Linked DNA regions of Caenorhabditis elegans. The protein of the gene in region 3 purifies or fractionates together with the protein of the main gene of each other region. This does not show direct contact. Each region holds a gene or a part of one and is shown on either strand. Other genes may lie near its edges.

The links.
Region 1: the proteins of K12H4.3 (region 3) and wdr-12 fractionate together in Caenorhabditis elegans (co-fractionation; one large-scale study listed by BioGRID). This does not show direct contact.
Region 2: the proteins of K12H4.3 (region 3) and C43E11.9 fractionate together in Caenorhabditis elegans (co-fractionation; one large-scale study listed by BioGRID). This does not show direct contact.
Region 4: the proteins of K12H4.3 (region 3) and C18A3.3 fractionate together in Caenorhabditis elegans (co-fractionation; one large-scale study listed by BioGRID). This does not show direct contact.

What each region holds. Positions count from the first base shown.
Region 1 is NC_003279.8:5,655,411-5,659,627, forward strand, and holds wdr-12 (Ribosome biogenesis protein WDR12 homolog), read right to left. Parts: upstream 2,508-4,217; 5' UTR 2,500-2,507; coding exon 2,408-2,499; intron 2,365-2,407; coding exon 2,267-2,364; intron 2,217-2,266; coding exon 2,122-2,216; intron 2,071-2,121; coding exon 1,964-2,070; intron 1,912-1,963; coding exon 1,787-1,911; intron 1,736-1,786; coding exon 1,641-1,735; intron 1,532-1,640; coding exon 1,210-1,531; intron 1,156-1,209; coding exon 1,030-1,155; intron 980-1,029; coding exon 847-979; intron 783-846; coding exon 656-782; 3' UTR 540-655; downstream 1-539. Other genes in the region: cir-1 (CBF1-interacting co-repressor CIR N-terminal domain-containing protein), read right to left, coding at 1-196, 244-410; mff-2 (Mitochondrial fission factor), read right to left, coding at 2,766-2,975, 3,024-3,299; F55F8.7 (Protein-tyrosine-phosphatase), read right to left, coding at 4,087-4,141, 4,187-4,217.
Region 2 is NC_003279.8:4,266,658-4,269,763, reverse strand, and holds C43E11.9 (60S ribosome subunit biogenesis protein NIP7 homolog), read left to right. Parts: upstream 1-1,796; coding exon 1,797-1,919; intron 1,920-1,968; coding exon 1,969-2,270; intron 2,271-2,316; coding exon 2,317-2,434; 3' UTR 2,435-2,565; downstream 2,566-3,106. Other genes in the region: cdc-6 (Cell division control protein), read left to right, coding at 1-696, 994-1,497; mus-81 (Crossover junction endonuclease MUS81), read right to left, coding at 2,590-2,982, 3,038-3,106.
Region 3 is NC_003281.10:8,044,460-8,048,117, reverse strand, and holds K12H4.3 (Ribosome biogenesis protein BRX1 homolog), read right to left. Parts: upstream 2,085-3,658; 5' UTR 2,074-2,084; coding exon 1,957-2,073; intron 1,833-1,956; coding exon 1,380-1,832; intron 1,307-1,379; coding exon 1,168-1,306; intron 1,115-1,167; coding exon 891-1,114; intron 748-890; coding exon 622-747; 3' UTR 506-621; downstream 1-505. Other genes in the region: mals-1 (Mitochondrial Assembly of ribosomal Large Subunit), read right to left, coding at 1-69, 121-405; spcs-3 (Signal peptidase complex subunit 3), read right to left, coding at 2,334-2,436, 2,485-2,630, 2,691-2,841, 2,941-3,083; K12H4.5 (uncharacterized protein), read right to left, coding at 3,338-3,631. UniProt on the Caenorhabditis elegans protein: Required for biogenesis of the 60S ribosomal subunit.
Region 4 is NC_003280.10:5,714,737-5,718,541, forward strand, and holds C18A3.3 (putative rRNA-processing protein EBP2 homolog), read left to right. Parts: upstream 1-1,570; coding exon 1,571-1,642; intron 1,643-1,685; coding exon 1,686-1,796; intron 1,797-1,847; coding exon 1,848-2,062; intron 2,063-2,111; coding exon 2,112-2,334; intron 2,335-2,684; coding exon 2,685-2,992; intron 2,993-3,039; coding exon 3,040-3,133; 3' UTR 3,134-3,302; downstream 3,303-3,805. Other genes in the region: Cytotoxic granule-associated RNA binding protein tiar-1, read right to left, coding at 1-69; lelo-4 (Late ELOngation arrest), read left to right, coding at 188-387, 1,346-1,514; C18A3.10 (uncharacterized protein), read right to left, coding at 559-569, 617-765, 809-864; zipt-3 (Zinc/iron permease), read left to right, coding at 3,409-3,509, 3,562-3,805. UniProt on the Caenorhabditis elegans protein: Required for the processing of the 27S pre-rRNA.

The DNA.
Region 1 (4,217 bases), on a different chromosome or scaffold from region 3:
ATTTCTAACTTGAATTCCGAATGGTTGATCTTGGATCTCTTCATTTCCTTTAGCCCAATCTTCACGTGGTGCTTGATATTTCCGTTGCCATTCGAATTTCGGCTCTTCTTTCGGTTCTTCTCTCTTTGTCATTCCAGCTGGAGCATCATACATGAACGATAATCCCATTTTGGCCTTTTCGTCTCCAAGAAGAGCTCTGAAAAATATTTATAATCTAGTGAGAAGATATTGAATGCAACATACTTGTTATTCAAAATTTCTTGCTCTTTCTCATAAGCAACTCGAAGTTCTTCTTGTCGTTTGTCCTCCAAAGACTTCTTCTGTCGTGCTTCCCAGACCATTTTGAGATTCCGAAAAGCGGATGGATGGAAGTCCTTTTTGGACATGAAGTTTTGAAAACCCTTCCCCATTTTGCAACGCTTTTGTTTTGATTCTCACTGAAAAATTCTGAAAATACTTGAATGAAAAATTGAAGAAAGAAAAATAATTGAAATATTTAACACAGTTCAAAACTGTCAGAAGGTAATGGAAAATAAATTCAAGTGGATAACTTCATAAAAAGTTCAACAAAAAATCAAAATCAACAAATAGAAAACGCGGTATATAGAAAAAAAAACAATATAAGAATTTGTAGAATAACAAAAAACAAAACAAATCAAGCAGTCTCAAAGATTTTGATTGTGCAGTCTGCGGATCCAGTTGCAATTAGTCCTTCATTCCACGTGGCACACAAAATACGATCATCGTGTCCATGAATGTCGAACAATGAAGACTTTGAGGATCTGAAACAAACCGAATATTAAAGTAAAAACTGAATGGTTCTTTAATTTTTGAAACAAGACCTACCTTACATCCCACATTTTCGCAGTTTTGTCGGTGGAAACACTAACAAATTGATTTGTATCCAACGGATTCCATTTGACAGCTTCAACCCATCCATTTTGATGTCCAATGAATGATTGTTTAACCATACTTCCATCTGAAATGTTTTATAAATACAAGAGACTAAATAAATATTAACAAACAAACCTCTATTTTTTGGATCATAAAGTCTTGGAATAGCATCAGTACAACTGGAGATGAGAAGATCACTCTTCGGATGAAGATCAATGCTTGTGAATGATTTGGGTCCTTTGATCCGCGAAATTTCACCAGCTTGAATGAAATTATTTTTTGTATATAAATAGGATATTTATCATTAGAACTAACCTAATTCCAAATCCCATTCAACAATAGTATGATCCCACGAGCACGAAAATGCGTGTCCAGAATTCCATGGACACCATTCGACTGCGGATACTTTGTCACGATGCCCTCCAATCGTAACCATCGGAACTTTAGTTTTGGTTTCTTTCTTTCGGCGTTTCTTCGCACTTTCTTCTTCTTCTTCTTTCTCATATGTTGTTGCTTCATCAGATGCATCCAAGTTCCAAATTTTGAGATTTGTGTCGACTGATCCAGAAATCGCACGGGTCGAATCCGAGTTGACTGAAACACATTCGACGGCACGTTCATGACCACGAAGGATGAGCTGGAAAATTTTTATTAAGAATGAAGTAATGACTGCAAAATAAAAAAAAAGAATTTTCGAAACAAAATTTATTGATAAAACTGATAACCCCGAAATTCGAACACCTAACCTTCTCAACAAGTGCTCCTTTTTCAATTGCATAGAGAGTCAGCAGTTGATTTTCACCGCCGACCACAAATTCTGTACCGTCCAATTGATTTTTCTCTGAAACAAAAATTATCGTTTTTTTAAATTTCAACTAGTGTTAAAACTGACTAGATGGTGCTTTGACGATTGAGATGCACTTTAAAAGACGATTTGCTGAATTAACAGCCAACTTTGTCTCTTTTCCTTTACGATCCACAATTACAATGTCTCCTCCGTAGGTTGTTGAGAAAATGCTGAAAATTTCAGAATGAGACTTTTACCAAACATTAAGCGGAAAAAACATACTGGCCGTTTGCGATTTGTACCGAAGAAACCCAATCAGGCGCTTGGATATCATGAAGTGGTTTTGGAGCTTCAATTCCAATTACGCATTCCACTTTAAGGATTGTTTCCTGCAGAGCTTGTTTTATTAAAACTCTAAACTTTTTTTAAATGAAATTTACCGTTTCCACTTCGTATTCCTCGATGAATTCAGCTAGACTCGTGCGCAAAAACGTTTCACCAACCAGAAATTCGAATCGCCGCTCTTTCCATGCACCTGAAAAATAAAATTGTATAACATTTTTATTTGAAATAGCTGAAATAAACCATCATTGGCTTCAATAGTCTTGTTCAATAGAAGATTCATATCATCACATTCTGCTCCAGTCGGAACATCAAAGACGGCATCCGGAATTTGCGGAATTCTGAAAAACGAACATGATGCATTTGGATAAAATTCTAACTTACTCTTCATCTTTACTGAAAAAGGTGATTTGAACGTGCTTCTGATTGATTGAGTGATCACCGTTTTCCACTTCCATTAAATCCGCCAAGTCCATCTTTCGATCTGAAAATAATTGATTTTATTCAGAAAATTTTTGGGAAGCAAGTAAGAAATGAGAGACAAACGAAGAATAAATACAAGAAGAGAGAAGAGGAGATGTGAGGGTTCAACCGGAAACAAAAATACCGTATGAAGGGGACTAACGAAAATCTATAACATTTAAATCAATGTTTTGATAAATTTTTGCTTTTTTGAGAGCTATTGAAAATCAGAAAATCATATTGCAATGAAAAATGAATAAAAAAATAAATCCTCCGAATTTTATCGTTTCAAAAGTGACCAGAACGCCGTTATTGCAACACCGAGAAGAGCTACGAAAATGGCTTGCTCTCGATGTCTGCGTGTCTCGTTTTTCTCTTCCAACTCGAAGACTCTCGCACTGATTCGACCCATTTGGCGACGGAGCATTTTTAGTTCACGGAGCGGATCCTCGTCGACAACCATCGAGCTGTCCGTCCGGGCTGTGTCTAGCTAAATTGTTGCAGTTATTAAATATATATTTATCCTCAATTAGCTAACCTCTCGCCGCTGATCTTCAACCGGATATTGTGTATCGGCAACAGTGAGTACATCTGGCACATCAGTCAAATAATGAGCATTTTCCGTTGGAAGTTTATCCACACTATTACGATAATCTTCCGTAATTCTTCCATATGTATCACCTCCCGTTACAGTTATTCTATCTGGAACTTCCATTTGTTCGACAAGTGATTGACGATTCGTACGACGAGAAGGACCTCCGCCATGTCCACGCATTTCATCGCCGGTCGCTGTGATGTGCTCCGGAACGAACATTTTCTGAAATTAAAAAAGTTTAAAATCTATTTTTTTTTTGAGAAACCTTGAAAGAGGAAAAGTACAAGATAGTGTGTCATTTTCATATTTATACGATGTAACCCGGTTTCAAAATAAATTTGCGTCACAGAAATTGAAAAATTGCATCAGGTATTATTTTTAAAGAGTTTATCAGCGATTTTGGTCTAATATCATTTTCATTAATGTCAGTTTTATCATCATATTCATCAGTGAGACATAAAAACATAGTTTCGTAAAATCACTGCAGTTTGATACTATCAGTTTTTTATACTGTTATTAATTACACGAAAAAGAATCATAAATTACTCATCTTCAACTTTACTAAAGTGAACAAAAAACGTTTAGAAAGCCGAGAAGACAATAGAAACCAGTGAAAAACTAAAATTCGAACCATAAAAAGCTCAAACGAAAATATGGCCTAGAAATATTCGCTTGTCGGTTCCTAGGCCACCACCTCGTTCAATTGGCGGTGGTTCAAAAAATATTATTTGAAAACTACCATTAAAGGGAAATGCATCTTTCACAACAACTTTCTGTTTTCTTTGCAAATATTCTGAAAATATCATAAAAGTTGAGAAACCATGAATATTTTTTTCATTTGGATGAAGTGGTGGTTGAACTATTTAACGTACAAGTTGATTTTTCAAAGTATCTTGAGTGTTTCTTTCGATTTGAAATGCATGTAAAAAATGTAAAAAAATAATTCACAGAAAATACCACATATCAATTCAATTTTATTCTTCTAATAAATCTATGAAAACGAGTTCTATGCTTTAATTCTCTCCTTCTCTTTCCCTTCAGTTGCCACTTTCTCGCCTTGCCTGAAAATCATAAGTTCTCTCTAATTCCAAAACCAGCAAACTTACTGATTCTGTACCGCACGTTTTGCCAACTTTT
Region 2 (3,106 bases), on a different chromosome or scaffold from region 3:
ACAAACTTGAAGAGCCAATTGACAACTCCACGTACTCCGGAAAAACAGTCGAGGTCACGATCTGGATCTCAGGGAACACCAGAGAAAAAGTCGCGAAAAGAGAGCTCATCGGAATCTGACAGCGAAGAAATTATTTCAACATCTTCCGAAGGGGCTTTGAAAGGAAGACGTGAAGAATTTGATTCACTGAAATTATGGATTATGAAAAGTAAAGAAACGAATACTTCGTTGTCTATTTATGTCAGTGGACAACCTGGAACTGGAAAAACTGCGACCACAATGAGAGTTCTTAAATCATTGGGAAAATCAGTTCGAAGTTGTATTGTAAATTGCGCTTCAACAAATACCAAATCAGCACTATTCAAAACGATTTTCGAATCTTTGGATTTGGACGGAAAGCCGAATGAAGAAATTTTTGAGAAGCACGTGAAGCAATTCAAAACTCCTCTGGTACTGGTTCTCGATGAGATTGATCATCTCGCGAATCGAAAGAACGCTGCACTCTACGCAGCTTTTCAATGGCCAGAGACGTTGTCTCGAAAAATTATCATTCTTGGAATTGCAAATTCGATTGATTTGACAGAACGACTTCTTCCAAAATTGATGCTCGCGAAGCCACCGAAAAGACTCGTTTTTGAACCGTATACGAAAGATGACATCGTAGAAATTTTGAATGATAAAATGAAAAACGAGGAGGTAAGTTTAAATTTAAAGGATGAGTATCGGTTTTCGGCTTGTATAGACTCAAAATGTACCAAAAAAAACTAATTTTGTAGTGAGAATTTTCAAAAAAACAATTATGGTGGCTAAAAAATTTCGAAGAAAAAAGCTATTTTTAAATAAAATCACCAATTTCGCCCATTTTCTAAGAACTTTTCAGCAGTCTCATTATGAAATTCTTTCGTTTGCGCACATTTTGATTCTTTCCAAGCGAAAAACTCAGAGAACCGGTGCTCCTAAGTTCATTTAGTATTTTACATTTTATAATTTCAGACTTCAATTGACGCAAAGGCAATCGAGTTAACCGCTCGTAAAGTGGCTGCAATGAGCGGAGATCTTCGTACCGCACTCCACATCTTCAAACAACAAAAAAGTCGTATGATTCCTGATGATTCAAAAGTTCCTGGTACCCCAGTTAATGGATGTCGTGAAGTTCTTGGAATCATCAACAATGTCTATTCGTCTCCATTGGCTCGTGCTCGTCTTCCACTTCAACCTCGAATTCTTCTAGCTGTCTCTTTAACACTTTCTGCCAACAAGAAATGCACATTCGATCGGAATTCCCTGCTCCGTGCCTATTATAAAGCTTGCGAGGCTCTTCGAATGCCCGCTCTTGATGACGATGAACTTCATTCAGCGTTCCAGACTCTCGAATCTCAATCCTTCGTCCGTCAGTTAAACGGCGGAAAGCTAGTTCTTCAAGTTGATGCTCCGACGGCAAAATCGGCTATCAGTGACAACGCGATGCTTGATCAAATTGGACTCCTTCAATTTTAATCGCATCTCCTGTAACATAATTTATATCCACTTCTATTTATTGAAATATTGAAAAAGTTTTGAATTTCTTACTTTGGCATTTCCCTGTAAACTTTATCATTCCTCTCACTTCCTTTCAACGCGTTCTCTCTTCTGAATACCTGTCCCTTTACCTTCGGGTACACGTTCTGTGTAATTTATAAACGTTCTCCATATTTATTACAAAACTTTTTGCTCTGAATTTTGGTTTTATATTCCAAAATTTTTTATCTTTATTTTATTATGTCTATAATTATTCTACCCATTTCTTAATTATTCAGATGCGTCCACTGACAGAAGAAGAGACATCGCTTGTATTTGCCAAGTTGGCCTCGTTCATCGGAGACAATGTCTCGATGCTCATCGACAGAAATGATGGAGATTATTGCTTCAGAAATCACAAGGTATTAATTAATTGTTCTTTATCCAATAAAAACTCGATTTGTTCTTCAGGAACGTGTCTATTACTGTTCGGAAAATCTGATGCGTCAAGCCGCCTGCATTGCCCGTGAGCCACTTCTCTCTTTTGGAACTTGCTTGGGAAAGTTCACCAAAAGCAAAAAGTTCCATCTCCAAATCACCGCTCTCGACTATTTGGCGCCGTATGCCAAGTTCAAGGTGTGGCTGAAGCCGAACGCCGAGCAGCAATTCCTTTACGGAAACAACATTCTCAAGTCTGGAATCGCAAGAATGACCGACGGAACTCCAACTCATGCTGGAATCGTCGTATACTCGATGACCGATGTTCCATTGGGGTATGTTCACATTTAATATTCAAGTTAATTAAATATATTTCTCTAGATTCGGAGTGTCAGCGAAAGGAACATCAGACAGTAAGCGTGCCGATCCAACTGCTCTCGTCGTTCTACATCAATGCGATCTTGGAGAGTATCTCAGAAATGAGAGTCATCTCGCTTAATCGGATTTTGGTCTCCATTCAAAAATTTTAAATTCCACAATTTTTCATTTTTCATTGTTATTCTCTTGTTGATGTTGTTTTTGTTGGTCTTCCTTTCAAAATTTTTCATTCAATTATAAAAAATTCAATCTAATTCTGATTCATTCAGGATTCACTTATTGAACAAAAAATTTGAAAAGGTTACGAGTAATAGGCCTAGTTAGTTGAGGTAAAAGCTGAAGAAGTCGAATCGGTGCATCGTCTCCATTTGCACGAAAATATGAAAGCAGGGATACCATGGATGGAAATCGATCGGCAATTGCTTCGGCTCGATTCTGAGACATTCCCGGGCAAACCATCAGCTGTCGGACCCAAGCTTCTTTCACAGTTTCCGCCTTCTTTTTCTGGAGAAGATTCTGGAGTTGGCTGAATGGAACACCCGAAATTTCTTCTATGGCCGCTTTGTTCTGCAAACGAATCGTCACTTCCTTGAGAAATGCAGCTGTGTCTCGAGTATCAGAGCATCTTTGAATAAGATATCCTCCATTGGAAAGAGTTGATGCTACGGCCTGGAATTTTTGTTAGAATTTTGAAAAATCATCAGATTCTAATTCTATATTCTACCTGTTCGCAAGCAACATCTCCTTTATGTTGAGCTTCAATCAAATAAACTCGATTCTTCATCGGAGCCAT
Region 3 (3,658 bases):
TTTTAGAAGAGATCGAAGATTTTCAGAAATTGCTGAAGCTTGTCGCGAATTGAATGCTGAGCAAATTATCTGAAAATATGAGATTAATTTTCTCCTTACTGAATTACGAGGATTAATTACCTTATGTGTATACGGTGTCATTTCTGTTTCTTCTGATTTTACAACAAATACATCTTTTGCTCTTTGATCAGTCAAAGCTCCGACCACATTCTCTACAAAATCAGCGTCTTCTGACAAATTCTGGCTTCTGAATCCTGTCCGTTTTGGAGGTTCTTGACTTGTTTCGTGACTGGAAATGATTCCAGTTGGCTCTAATTCTTCGAAATATTCCTCTTCGATATGCGAATTTTGAGCAAGATATCGTAACTGTAGAATTGGACGAAGTCGTGTGAATCGTGTAAGCATTCTGAAACGACATATTCTTGACAAAAGCATCTCGAGAAATTAGAAAAATAATAAATTTGAGTTGGTTTTGACACATATTTAGAAAAAAACAATTGAATTTCGCTTTGATAATTTTTTATTCAAAAAAGGCATAAAAAGATCAGAGTAAGAAACAACAGAGTAGCTTGAGATAAAAAATCAACAATAACAACAAAAATGTGATAAATTCAACAAAAATTAATCGGATCCAGTGTACTTTGATGCTTGGCTCTTCTTCTTGCGAACACGACGTTTCTCAATTTGAGCAGTGATCTGAGCAGCAGCCTCTGAGTCAGCAGCGGCATTGTTTTGTGTATCGAATTCCTGGAAAGGAAGATAAATTAAAAACTCGTTCAAATCGATTGTGGTACTTGGAAATAATTGTATAATAATTTTATAGTAAATATTATGACTGTATTTTGTCAAATTTGATTTTAATTTCATGTTTTTTATTTTCAAAATCGTACCTTTCCAACCAAATCAACAGTCTTTTCAGCGAGAATTTCTGTGACTTTAGCTTGTTTGATATTTGATGCTTTCACAGCCAACTGTTTCTCGATATACGAATGTTGTCCTTTACGGTGTTCACGGCGGATCACATTTGGAGAGACGTAGTTTGGGTTGTCGTACAGTACGGCTCCTTCGAATGAGCCAGCGAACAAACGAACCATTTCCAAAACGAAGCGTGGTCCTGAAGAAAAATGTTGTGCATGTAAATAAAAAGTATTCAAACTATATACTCACCAACTTCCTGAAGTTGAAGACTCTCATCAACAATTTGAAAATTGCGGAACCAGATTTTATCACCTTCTCCAACAGAAAAATTAAAGACGTGATCCACAAATGGCTGACTGCGTGGATGATGATGTGGTGTTCCAAGAGTCTGAAATTATTTTGTGAAAATTATAATTTTTTCTAACAAAATATTTATTCAAATTCAATTTTTACAAAATTACCTGCATAAGCACGGCCTTGATAAGCTTCAATTGTGGTTTCTTATCAAAAGCATCGTCAAATGAAAGGACTGGTCTTGAAGCTCTCAGACAATTTCCTGACATTTTGAGTTCCTTCATTGTATGCACATTGTGCACCAAGAATTTGATGGATGGCCCCTTCTCAACATTTGACATCCAGAGATAAGTGTCCTTTCTCTTACGACTTTCAAAGTACATTACTTTTGTGCAATTCTTCATTTCAGCAATCTCATTGAGAACATTCAGAGATTTCTGCTGATCCAGCTTCGAATCTCCTTTTGCATGTGGCAACAAATCCTTGATGTCCTTCATCAAATAACGGGTGCGAACGTCGGCTCCGCGGGAACAGAGCACAAGTACACGTTCGCGGTTTGTCCAAAGTTCCGCGCGTTTACGGGTCTCCTCAGTTGCTTGTTTTGGCTGATCATCATTGTCCTGAAAATGTTACAATTAATAATAAGATGGTATTAGATATTGAAAATAAATTTTTTAGACTTTCCAATTAGAATCTTGTTCCAAAAAAACCTTTTGGAAATTAAACTAGCTAATAAAGATTTACCGATTCATCAGAAGAATCATCAGAGCTCGAGTCCTTGGCTCCGGCAGCTTCCCATTCCATTTTCTGGTGCGCAGATTCCTCCTCTTGAACTTTCTTGATTTTCGAGAACTTGCCCATTATTTCTGATCCTGAAGGTTGTAATTTAAAATAATATGGAAGAGAGAAACGAAAATAAGTAAATATGCAAAGGGTGAAAGCAACCAAGACATTTAATAAAAATTAATTTAATTCCCGGATTTTTAAATCTTATTATGAAATGTGGTGAAGAAAATCAAAAATAAGTTAAGAAATATCTCACAATCGGATGAATTAAATAAATTACGGATGAAACACATAACCCATAGTATTTCATATGAAACAAGTAAAATAAGATGTAACTAGGATCTTCGAGTAGTTGTGTATGTGGTTGGGAACGGAACAACAACTTGATCGGAAGATTGAACAAGACGAAGATAGCCAGAGTTTGGAATCACGTTGTATCTAAATATTTTAATATTTGGTTTTATTTATCGAATTTTCAATTCAAACCTCAAAACAAAGGTGACATTTTTGTGGTTAAGCAAATTGGTTCCATCGTCGAGGAAATAATACTTTGACTTGACACCGATCTCGTCCATAACCACACGGTCAGCACGTTCCACAATTCTGTCCCATAGCACCACTTGGTTAACCTCCTACAATTGCAAAAAAAAAGAAGTTTTTTTCGATCCTCAATAAAAGTTTCCAAAGCTTACGTTGACTTTCGATTTATATTCTGCAACCAAATAAACAAACAATTGCTTGACGTTCCAGTTGAAAATCTTTGAAAAATCGACTTTCAGATTGAAGTTTAGTGTGGCGAGATCGGCTTGTTGCTCATCCGTGGCGTAGTCGACAACGTTTCTCCTGAAAATGGAATAAGATTTACAGAAATACGTTTAAAATGTTTTCGGAGAAACGCTTGAAAGAATTTCGCAATTTTTTTATTTCTCTTATAAAACCTACACTTTGACATCGTTGACAGTGAGCTTGGTTGGAACAGTGTAGTCGAGGAAAACTGTTGACAGGAAACAAGCTGCTGTGACTGCGGCCATCACCCAAAGAGTGAACGCTAGGAGTGCGTTAGCACGAGACAGAAGATTGTGCATCTTTGAGCTCGAATCAGCCTGAAACTTTGGATAAAAATGAAAAATAAAATTAATATAAATACATATAGAAAATATAATTGTTGTGGCTGAAACACTTCAGTAGACAAATGAAAACAAATTTTAAAAAGGAAAACTTTCATTTACATTTTAAAAACTCTTCTAAAAAATAAAACACCGAATGTGTCCAATTTACAGTGAAAATCGAAAATCGTCTACGACTTATTGGCTTCTCGTTGATTATTTTGGACGATTGATCAATGAGCTGTCTCAACACTTGAAAGAAGATACGGTGCTGGATATTCTTCTGGTTTTCTCCAATTTTGTGCGATTGGGTCGTTGGAACGGACGACGTCGTAGTATCCGCGGTAGAATGGCTTATCACTTTCTGTCAAGTACTTCTTCATTTTATATCCGCCAATCAATAGTGTGGCTACTCCGAAAGTCGCGTAGAAGATAGTTTGCTCCGGGTATTTCTTGAGCATTCGATGTGGCAGGGTGCTCCAGTAAGCCCAGAGTCGGGCGCTTCGCGACACGTGGTACTTGATCATCACCCTGTAACATCCTCTAATAATGCC
Region 4 (3,805 bases), on a different chromosome or scaffold from region 3:
ATTGTAACCAGTATTGACGTCGTCATTGTAACCATGGTTGGAGTTTGCTGGTGGGTTGAAGAAGGACATGGCTTAAATGATAGATCCCTGTAAAAAAGAAAACGAATAAGAAGATAGAAAATAATTTATGTCGTAATATCGTAAAGAGAGATAAACGTTTAATAAATACTTAAAAAAACAAAGAAACATGCAAAAAACCAATAAAAACAGTGCGGGAACGCTGCGTTCACATTCAAAACTATGCTCGCAAGTGTCGTCTAGAGCGTTGCGGTCAGTGCGCTGCGTGTCACCCTGCGGATCTTACTCAAGCGGCAATTCAAAACAGAGTTTTCAGTTTCGAATTTCTGCAAATAATTTTAAGTTTCAGCCCGTTCCTCCGCAAAAATGGTGAGTATTTTAAAGTTTTAAAACATCAAATCAATTTAGAATTCATTCCAATCAAACAATAGGCGTAAAATATGTTTTCATTCATGTATAAACGTTGAAAATCCATTTTTAGGGTTTAGAATAGTAAGAAATATAATTTTGTCGTTGATAGTGAGAAGCTGACCACTCGTTTCATAACGTATCTGTAAAGAACATGCTTAATATTAAGAACTGGACGTCTAGTACTCACGATGAAGTATGAAAAATATAACTATCGCCAAAATTCCTAGCAAAATCAAAAATCCCACTAAGATCAGAGTTGAACAAAAGCATATTGGTCCAGAAATGCCACATATATTTTTTTCTCTATAGTAACGATAATGCTCATGCGGCATATCTCTGTAAAGTACAGATATCATAGAAATTTGATTCTAAAACTTACGTTCCATAGCTCTCAATCGTGGATACTGTAGGTGTTCGATCTTTAGACTTATTCATTTTCATTAAATTTTTCTGAAAAATTGTTTCTTATTGTACAAAAAATCGAAGAAAAATGAGTCACATCGCACATACCATTGCACTCCGACTCTTATCAATTGATAGACTAAAAACCTATTCATGTGTTTGTTCAAAGAGAAAATTCAATCTAAATAATGTTTTCTGGGGGTCTCTTCGTAAATTTTCGGGTCAATATATCTTTATGCTGCTTCCGATAATCGTTTTTCTCTTCAATTATCAGTTCAATTTAAAAAAATGAAGAACATTTGAGATTTTTTCGGGTTTGGACGCAGCATTATGAACGAGAAATCTTTTGTGGAAGAGAAATTTCAATGCGCCGCAGTTCGGCCAAGAATTTATTGGCTGTTTTTTGGGAAGACACATTACCGATATAAAATGTTTCTTGTCAAAGTTTCATGTATTAAAATACTATTTATTTTGTTAATTTTTTAGTGCAAGCTAATTATTTAAAAACTTTCAGCCAGCCGTCTTCTCATTGGTGCTCGATTCGATGTGCAATAATAATTGTTAATAATTTTTTTGTTTTCATGTATTATATTTTTCTTGTTCTTGTGAATGTTTGTAATAATAATTTGTTAATTTTTTACTATTCTTCGATCTTCAAAAGAAAACGTTTTCAGCGTTTTTAATATTTTATAATTGTGTTTTTCTAATTTTTAATGGATTTATTGATTATCGATTTCAGATGGTTCGTAAAATGAATAAGCTCGCCAAGCGGCTCGCCAGCACTTCAAAAAGTCGTCAACCGGAACCAGAAGTGAGGAAAATACTTTGTTTTAAAAAATAATTCAAAATTTCAGAGCGATTCCGACGGATCCGAATTTGACTTCGATAATGCTATCGAGGAAAAACCAATGGAAGCGATGGATATCGAAGAGGTTGAATCAGACGGCGATGACGATGAAAGAGAGGTGAGAATTACTTTTTTAAAAAGTATTTTCAAAAAAAAAAACTGATTGCAGCTCCAAGCCGCATTCGCTGCTGGTCTTCTTAAAGATGGACTCAACATTCAAGTAGCCAAAAAGCGTCCGATCATCAACAAAAGTGCTGAAATGAAAGAAAAATTGGCTGAAATCACAAAAGATCTTCCATGGGTTGAGACTCTTGAAGTGGTAACTCCTCATTCTGAAATGGACAAGAAAGTGGAAAATGACGACTTCCAAAGAGAGTTGAATTTGTAAGTTGCACGAGGGTTGTATAATTTCGAAAATTCTAATTTTTTAAAGCTATAAGCAAGCTGAAAAAGCTGTTCAAATCGCCTATCCACGTCTTCTGAATCTTGGTATCAAAGTTCTGCGACCAACAGATTACTATGCAGAGATGGCAAAGAGTGACACTCATATGCAGAAAGTTCGCAAGAGACTTCTCGGAATTCAAGAAATGAAGGAACGACAAGAAGCATTCCGCCGTATTCGTGAAGAGAAAAAGTTTGCTGTTAAGGTTCAGAAGGTAATGGTTGTTCAAAAAACCAGAAAAATTTCAGCCTAAAAATTAATTAAAATAACGGAAAAATAACTTTAATTTCTAATGGTTCGATTGGACAAACACTCAAAAATGTTTGCAAGTTGAAAGTTGCAGGATAAAATTTTTTTGCAGCAATATCCAACTTTGATACAGTTTTTGAGCACTTCGCAATTGTTTCAAACTGAAATAAAAATCTATTTCCAGATAAAACATTTTTTCTATTTTCCATCACTAAATTTAAATTTAAAATATTGGTAAAACATGCTATTTACTCTGATTCGTTTTGTAGAATTTACAAAAATAAAATCGTTGAACATGAATATCATTTTTTTCAGGAAGTTCTCGCTGCCAAGAATACAGAGAAAAAGAACCTCGCAGAAGCTGTGAAGAAGCACAAAAAGGGAATGAAACAACAATTGGAAGATATGCTGAACAACGTGAAAAGACATGGTCTTGATCAGGATGATGACGCACCGACTGGAGCATTCGGTGACCGTCTAGGAGGAAGAGGTGGTGCCGGAAGAGGTGGAGCTGGAAGAGGAGGATCGATGAGAAACGCAGGAGAACTCAAAAGAAAACTGAAATCGGATAAATTCGGTTATGGAGGAAAGAAGAAGGGAATGAAGAGAAACAACAAGGAGAGGTAAGAAGCTTCATCGGTCTTTCCTGAAATTATTTTATTTTTTTCAGCTTCAATGATCTGTTCGGAGCTCCACGCGGAGGATTCGGTGGACGTGGTCGTGGTGGTGGACGAGGAGGACGCGGTGGACGCGGAAGACGTTAAGCAAACGTTAAGCCTATTTTTATATTTACAATTTATGAACTTTTGTTACATCATTGTTGATTTTTCCTTGTTATGGATTTCGATTTTCAAAATTTTGTTCTTACAGTTATCCCATTTTTATTGTTGATCTTCTGATTTTAGTAATGTCCAATAAAATAATTTGTTGTTGCAAGCATTGAATAACTTCCAAATCGTTTTTTAATCGATCTTGTATTTTTTAAAAAGTCCAACCAAATCAAAATCGCTAAGCAGATTTTTCAGAAAATGCACTAAAAATGGAACAATTTTTGTTTATGACAACATCAGCTTTTGCTGTTTTCATTCTTCTTCTGATCTCAACATCGATACCGTACACTTTTCTAAGGACATGTTGTGTGTCAGTTTAAATTCCAAAATAACAAATGAAAACTAGAAATTTTTTTTTTCAGAAACGCTTCAAAAACATCAATCTCATTCCTGGGATGTGCTTCATGCGGTGTCTTCATTGCCACGTGTTTCCTCGGACTTGTCCCTCATGTCAGACATCAAGAAATGCATTTAAGAGGGAATCAGACGATAGTTGATAGTTATGGATGGATTCCATCGACTGATCAATTAGTTATTATTGGATTCCTGATAATTTTGATAACTGAGCAAATCATTCACGGAATCGGACATTCAATCGGAAATGGC